2 linked regions of the Saccharomyces cerevisiae S288C genome follow. The protein of the gene in region 2 interacts with the protein of the main gene of each other region in a biochemical or structural test. Each region holds a gene or a part of one and is shown on either strand. Other genes may lie near its edges.

What was found. The genes of interacting proteins can lie anywhere in the genome.
Region 1: the proteins of RTK1 (region 2) and SET4 form a complex in vitro, tested with the Saccharomyces cerevisiae proteins (one large-scale study listed by BioGRID).

Annotation. Positions count from the first base shown.
Region 1 is NC_001142.9:223,163-227,275, forward strand, and holds SET4 (Set4p), read left to right. Parts: upstream 1-1,892; coding exon 1,893-3,575; downstream 3,576-4,113. Other genes in the region: protein kinase IME2, read left to right, coding at 1-165. UniProt on the Saccharomyces cerevisiae protein: Putative chromatin regulator.
Region 2 is NC_001136.10:404,841-409,053, forward strand, and holds RTK1 (putative serine/threonine protein kinase RTK1), read right to left. Parts: upstream 2,367-4,213; coding exon 504-2,366; downstream 1-503. Other genes in the region: MRX9 (Mrx9p), read right to left, coding at 1-117; putative acid phosphatase DIA3, read right to left, coding at 3,611-4,213. UniProt on the Saccharomyces cerevisiae protein: Probable serine/threonine-protein kinase that may be involved in ribosome biogenesis.

The DNA.
Region 1 (4,113 bases), on a different chromosome or scaffold from region 2:
AGAGGTGATAATGTTTTGGGTGATGCCTCTTTAGGCGATTCGTTTAATTCAATGCCAGATTTTACTCCAAGAAATTTCTTGATACCTACATTAAAAAAATCACGGGAAAAGTTCGAGCCTCATCTATCCAATTCAAACCAACATTTTGGAAATGTAACCTTCTAATAATTTGTCATTTGACTGACGAATCGTTAGGCACAGTTATATAGTTATATACACATAGACATACATATGTTCGCATATATATTATATTACTATGCATTCACCTAAATAGCTACTGCTCTATTAATACAGTGCTTTTTCGATGGCTTTAATTTAACTTATTAGACATTACTTTGCGTTTATTCCCCTCCAATATATTTTTATGTTTGTTTTTCTTGAACATTTTATGATTTCTTGCTCTTGGCGGCTACTGATTTTGTTAAGCAACTCATCAAGAGGTCAAAAAAAGTAGAACGAGATCTTTGTGTTCGGTTACCCGGCTCAGATCCTAACTTGGTATGTTTATTCGTATAAGTTACTGTTGTCCACAGGCAATACTCTGCAGAAAATTAAAACGGCATTAATGCTAGGACAACCAGAACTGTTACTACTGTATGTGCGATAGTTGATAACTGCAACATTATGCCCGGTATATTCTCAAAAAACCCTATTACTGCATACGAAGAAATCGCAAGAGAAATCTTTCGGTTTGGAAAAGCTCACTGTGAGGTTCCTTGGAGCCAATAGTAATACAGCACAATCCAAGGAAAAATCTGGCCTATATGCAAGGAAGGAGAGATAGTCAAAAGCATTCTTTCCCCTAGAAGTTGGTGCATATATGGCATCGTTAAAACATATTACCCCCAAAATTTCTTCTCTAAACGATGTGCTTGGCCTTTGTTTTGGTTTTTGATGTCGGTCGTTTGAGGCCCCTTGCGGAAAATCGAGATCGCCGAATGGCACGCGAGGGAAGGGAAATAAGGTTTAAAGGCACTGAAACAATAGGCAAGAAGTAGGCGAGAGCCGACATACGAGACTAATGTGTCCGCGTTTCTAAGGCCACTTTTCAATGAAACGGATATTGATATGCTAGTAAAAGGACGAGCTCAAGAGCGAAAATATAAGTAAAGAATTCGAGTGCACTTGTCTCCATGCAGCAAGATTTCATATGAGTCTTTTTTATCTTTTTACTTTTTACATTACACGATATGCACTTTATGAAAATTTAACGAGGTTGGAAGCCGGATAATCAACCAAAATCAGGCACGAAGGCACACTCGTATATGCATGTTGTTGAAACTCTGTTACGCTGAACTAACAATCACACATGTAGAGGTCACCGGGAAAAGTTGCGACCCCATGGAAGGTCGATCTCTTCGTTTGGCTTTGCTTGGCTGGCGGCATTGCGCTTCTTCGCTTATACCCGTCTCTTGACGCTCGAGCTCGTTCATTGAGATACCTTTATTCTTGCACATTTTCTGGCTTTTTTCGCTACTCGGGTACATGTAATCATGCACACAGAAGGTGCTGTAGGGTGAAAGTTCCTTTGTGCTGTCGTTTGTTTTTAATGCCAAACTTTCTGGTGATCAATAACCACCTCTTTTTCCTTCAGGAAACCTTATTATTGTTCTTGGATAGTACTAGGAAGTATATAAGGAACCTCGATTTTGGTATTGCACGGCTATACACATCTAAGAAACTTTGTATAAAAGGTGGCTACCCTATTCATAGCTTGATATCAATAGGCCATCTCATCACTTTTTATTGAAAAGGAAAGGAGGGAAATATATCTGATTCAAATTACTTGTTTGCTTCTCTTTAAGACAAAAGCATAGATAATTTCAGCGTGGAACGCCGGAATAAGATTGGTACCCTCGTCAGAAAGTTACAAATACCGCTTCATCTTCAAAATGACTTCACCGGAATCACTATCTTCTCGTCATATCAGGCAAGGAAGGACATACACAACCACAGACAAGGTCATATCGCGGTCGTCGTCGTACTCATCTAATAGTTCAATGTCTAAAGATTACGGCGATCACACACCCTTGTCCGTCAGCAGTGCAGCTTCAGAGACATTACCCTCACCTCAGTATATGCCGATAAGGACATTCAATACAATGCCTACAGCTGGCCCAACGCCTTTACATTTATTTCAAAATGACAGGGGCATTTTCAACCATCATTCTTCATCAGGCTCATCAAAAACGGCATCAACAAATAAAAGAGGAATAGCAGCAGCAGTAGCATTGGCAACTGCTGCCACCATACCATTTCCACTGAAAAAACAGAATCAAGATGATAATTCCAAGGTCTCGGTAACACACAATGAATCATCGAAAGAAAATAAAATTACACCCTCCATGAGAGCAGAAGATAACAAACCTAAAAATGGTTGCATCTGCGGTTCAAGTGACTCCAAGGATGAGTTGTTTATACAGTGTAACAAATGTAAAACGTGGCAGCACAAGTTATGTTATGCTTTCAAAAAATCAGATCCAATAAAAAGAGATTTTGTTTGCAAAAGATGTGACAGTGATACGAAAGTGCAGGTTAATCAAGTAAAACCAATGATATTCCCTAGAAAAATGGGAGATGAGCGATTATTTCAATTTTCATCCATAGTGACAACTTCAGCATCGAACACAAATCAGCATCAACAGTCTGTGAATAACATAGAGGAACAGCCCAAGAAACGTCAACTTCATTATACCGCCCCAACAACTGAAAATAGCAATAGTATACGGAAAAAATTGAGGCAAGAAAAACTGGTAGTATCAAGCCACTTTCTGAAGCCACTACTGAATGAGGTAAGTTCTTCCAATGACACGGAATTCAAAGCAATAACAATATCAGAGTATAAGGACAAATATGTTAAGATGTTTATTGATAACCATTATGATGACGATTGGGTTGTTTGTTCTAACTGGGAAAGCTCAAGGTCAGCTGACATCGAGGTAAGAAAATCATCAAATGAAAGAGATTTTGGAGTCTTCGCTGCAGATTCTTGTGTTAAAGGTGAGCTAATTCAAGAATATTTGGGCAAAATTGATTTTCAAAAAAATTATCAGACAGATCCAAATAATGACTATCGTTTGATGGGAACGACAAAACCTAAAGTACTTTTTCATCCACATTGGCCTTTATATATAGACTCTCGAGAAACAGGCGGATTAACAAGATACATAAGACGGAGTTGTGAGCCCAATGTGGAACTAGTAACGGTAAGACCGCTTGACGAAAAACCAAGAGGAGATAATGATTGTAGAGTTAAATTTGTTTTAAGGGCTATAAGAGATATTCGTAAGGGAGAAGAGATAAGCGTAGAATGGCAATGGGATTTGAGAAATCCTATTTGGGAGATAATAAATGCATCTAAAGATTTGGATTCCCTACCGGATCCCGACAAGTTCTGGTTGATGGGGTCAATAAAGACTATTTTAACAAATTGTGATTGTGCATGTGGGTACTTGGGCCATAATTGTCCAATAACTAAAATCAAAAACTTTTCTGAAGAATTCATGAGGAATACGAAGGAATCCCTATCTAATAAATCTTACTTTAATACAATAATGCACAACTGTAAGCCATAAACGAAATTTTAAAATTAATAGTATTCATTTTAATCTTTTTTGAAAGCTTAATTTTATCATCATAATTTTTCTTCCAAAACTTCAATCTTGGTATTTTTTTTCGCATTGGTCTTCATTTTTTTTCTTTTGTTTTTAGCTTTAATGTTGAAAGCGTGAATATCAAAACACTTTTATAATAAATCACCACTTTGTAACTATAGAGAACAATTCATGCTTTATTTATAGATGCCACGATTAAGCATCAATCATTAGTTGAGAGGATCCTTAACGTTAAAATCCACCGCACTTTTCCTTTCAAAAAGCTGCATTGTTTCCATAATTCATTTCATGGCAGGTTAATGACTTATTTGATATGAAGAGTGAGGTTCTTATCAAATGAAATTCCTACATATGAATTTTTTAAAAGAGAGTTTTTCGTTTTACGATATTTATTTACTTCATCATCGTTTATCATTTTTCACGTAGCAAATTTTGAAGCTTCAACTTATAACTCATTTGCATCCGATTCACATATTTCAGCTGACTATAAATTTGGCAA
Region 2 (4,213 bases):
CCTTAATATTCCTGGCAAGTACATATTGAAACCCTTTCCATTATTGAGACTATTGAGCGTAACGCTGTTCATAAGCTCCCTTGTCCTACTGGCTAATCCCACTGGAACTTTGAACATTTTTTCCTACTCATATGTGGTTATGGTGGTCTTATTTATCTGCGCTAAATCACTTTTCAATTATTCTTTGCAGTTTATAGGGGAGGAGACTTCCTCTTTGTAAAATCTAATAGGGCGTGTTCACAATTTTATGCGTCGGGTGACTTCAATTTGGCGCCCGTTGAGATTATCTAAAAAATGCTTTTATTTATTTAAGCGCTTTTTGTTTTGACGAATGTATTTATGTTTTTGTATATATATGAGCGTTTTTTTTTTCCAGATTTAACTAGTTTTCTTTTTCACCTGTATGCACACCATCTTTTATTCCTATATAATGCCTTTTATAGTACTTTGAATCTTCTATATACAATTTTTTAGGTTTTATCTTTTAAAAAGTGTTTATTTCATTAATTTGAATCTTTATTCCCGTGTTGCTTGGTCAGCTCATTCAACTCCTCCTCAGTGACCAAGTGATGCTTATGATTCTTTGGTTTTTCAACCAAATCGCCAGATGTAGGGTCAACTTCACAGGAGGGGACGGATACAAGCCAATCATCCTTTACCACGTCATTCATTAAAACTCTTTGCTTTGGTTCTAAAGCCAACATTCTGCCTATTATTGTCCGTGAATGTCTTGGCAGTAGCCTTAATATTTTATTTGGCCCCCGAACTATATCATCTTCGTCCTCAGGTTCCTCAGTAAATAACCTAAATGAGTTGAAGCTCTTTTTTGGAGCCTTCCAAGGAAATCTTTTAAGGACCATACAGTAAAATATAATAGCGATAGACCACACATCTGCTACTCTTGGATCGTAGGATGTTTGTTTCAATAACTCAGGAGCCAAATAAGGGTCAGAACCCACGATTCCATGTGATTTTACAATGGTATCTTCGTAAGGGTATTGGAACACTACAGCGCTCCCAAAGTCAATCAGTTTCAAGATGCCATCTTTAGTGACGACACAATTGTCCAATTTTAAATCCCTATGAGCTAAGCCCATAGAGTGCAGGTAATTAACGCCGTGGCACAGCTGCTTGAAGTAACAGTTGACTTCATCTTGTGTCATTAGGTTACTCATGACGAGATTAAAAAAATCATATGGCGCATACTCCATTACTAATAAATAGGTGTCACCTTCAGTCAACATATCTAGGGTTTCAACGATATTTTCGTGGTGCAGCGTGGAACCAATACAAAATTCAGTGGTAACCTTCTTAGAATAATTAGCTAATTGAGACTGATTAGTTCCTTCATTGTTTAAGTGTGGTTTTCTGAACATTTTGCAAGCAAATAACTTGCCGTCTGTTCTTTCTACTACGGACACTGAACCGGAAGCTCCTTCGCCTAATTTTCTACCAGGAATACCATATTTTTCTAATAGCTCCACTGGGTTATCTGTTTCGTATAACGCTTTTCCGTTACTTTCTACTATATTTTCATTGGTGTTCAAATTGAGCTTCGGTTTTGTAGGGGTGGATCCACGGTTGTGATGGTGGTGATGATGATGGTTATCGTGATAATCATTATGAATTTTTTTGAAAAATCTTGTTAATCTCAAGGATTTTTTCTTTCTTGATGAGGTATCATCACTACCGCTTGAAGAATTATGCTGTAGTTCCACGGACCCAGGGGTGGAGGCTTGAGAGTCCATGAAGTGTTTGTCTTCAATCTGTTTCTGTAGTATCTCTACGGGATGCATATGTGCCTGGTATGATAAATTCGAAGAGGGTGTATCAGATTTTGCAGAAGACACTGTAGAAATGTTGCTATGAGCTGTAGAGCGAACGGGGTGAGGATGGTGGAAAGCATCTTTTGAGCCTTGATGAATGTAGTTTATTGGATTGTGAATACTATGGGGTAAGTGGGGCACAGTGTGTCCCGTACGAACGGGATTATGATTGTTAGGTAAGGGCCGTGAAGGAGAGTAGTCAATAGGAGCTTTTTTAGCTGAAGTAGGAGAAATACCTGTCAAAGTAGAACTTGCTACTACGTGTGACTCCTTTGACAACGCGCCATTTCCCTGGGGGCTCTTTCCTATGGTAGATCTTCGGTCGTTGGGTTTGTTATACTTTATTTGATCCTCTTGGTCAGAATCTGTATTCTTTTTTGAAGATCTAGAAGAAGACCTTGAAACATCATCTGTCTTTGAGTATGATTGGTTACCACCTCCATTGAATATTTTAGCCGATAAATTCTTCAACTTAGTTGGCCTAAATAATGAAGACAGCGAAGTTGATGAAGATGAGTGTAATGGAGTTTCCTTAACCATTATGCTATGAATTTCAGGCTGCTCTTTTCTGTCCTTCTCTCTTTTTTTCCCTCTCAAATCCTCTCAGCTTATTAGCGCACTAAAGAGTCAGTTTGGGTGAATAGCGTAATCAACTTATGGAAAAGAAGAACACTAGAATCCGTCACTATTGGCTGCAAATAAGTATTATATCTTTTTTCAATGAGAAATCTTGCTTGCCCCATAACAGGTACAATACTTAGCAAGCCAGGAAGAGTCACACTGCAAAATAGATATATGAGAAGCGGAAGTAGCTTTTCCCCTTATAGATGTACGCCGTTCGATATTACCCGAACTGCAAGAAAAGCTTCTCCAAATATCTACTGGCCTCCATTCAAGAAGGCAATTAAAGAGACTATGTGTACATGAATGGGAACTTGGTATGATGGTAGTAATGCTTTATTAGTCATTCCCCTACCCCCTTGCGCAACCTATCATTTTACTTGCCAGATGTGCTCTCCACTGTTAGAGCCTCTTCGCTGACAAAGAATGGACGAGTACGCGAGCGGTGAAACGAGCACTGCAGGCAAGAGAAAGAAAAATCATGCATGATTTGGAAAGCGAATAAGAAATGACGCAGTTGAGTGTTTGAGTTGGAGCCAGCTGTGTTATTCACAGGTTCATTTCGAGAAAATAAACGCCTTTGGTGGAAGCGGACACTATATTTCACATTTTAGCTGTAGAAGTAAAAAATTTATTTCAAGTTTACTTAATCCATTCAAGCAGTGCTTTCCCGGAGTTTCGAATAAAAGACACTGAGGACTTTTCAGTTTGAATTTGAGATATGTTGTGGAAGTTTCCCAATACCAGAACCGCCTTTGAAATCCGGAAGTTTTCTTTTATGTTCTTGTGAATTTTCTATCCGAGTTTTAACTTTCGATATTCAGAAAGAATAGCCGTTCATCTCTTTTATATTATATTTAGCGATGTAATGAAAGTAAAAAAACAAAAAAAAAAAACAACAATAATCAAATGACGCATATCTAAATATTCCAGAAAAGAATATAAATAACGAGGGTGATAAAGCGGGTGCAATTAAATTCTCTGTAGTACAAAAATATGTAATAACCGCAGAACTTGTTAGTGGAATCTCTTTTAGATGTAGCTTGAAGGCTCAATTCGCTCCCCTTCGGTTTGCTGAAGGAAGAACGATGCGGAATATTACTTTGTGACCATGTTATGTAAAGACAATTTCCTATTTTTTTTTATTTCTGCCCATGCATGGCTTATTGATTCACTAAGGATGCGTTATACCTTGTTGTGTTCCAATCCCAGTAAAACGTCAATTCCTTTTCTTTGCTAACTTTGGAGACGTCGCAATCTTCATAGAAGCTCACACCTCGTAATCTGTCTTTGGCATACTCGTAAAATGTGCCCTCTTCACATGAAAAACCTGGACCACTGGAGCAACTCTCTATAGGAACCACAGCATCGTTGACCACATAACGGACGTACGAATCGTTTGAGCATTGAAACTTTTCTGTGTAGACTCTAGCTCCCTGAGGAATGTACCACGACCTGTGGTAGGAATGATCACGAAAGGGAACATGATTGGTTGTTAAATTTCTAGTGTCATCAATCAATCCAGCAGTTGTCAAATAATTTAGAATATCAGTATCGTGCGTAAAGCTCAGCCAAACTTTTTGGTCCAAGTGCGCACTTTGTCGTATTAGCTTCACTGTTGCATTGAACAAATTAGCACCTATAGATTTAATCAATTTGTATCCGGGACCATTTTGGTAGAAGCTCGTCAAATCAGTCTCATAAGAATAATGTATTAACTCTGCCGCGGAGAAAATGTCACAAATGTTACTATAACCTTTTGCGTT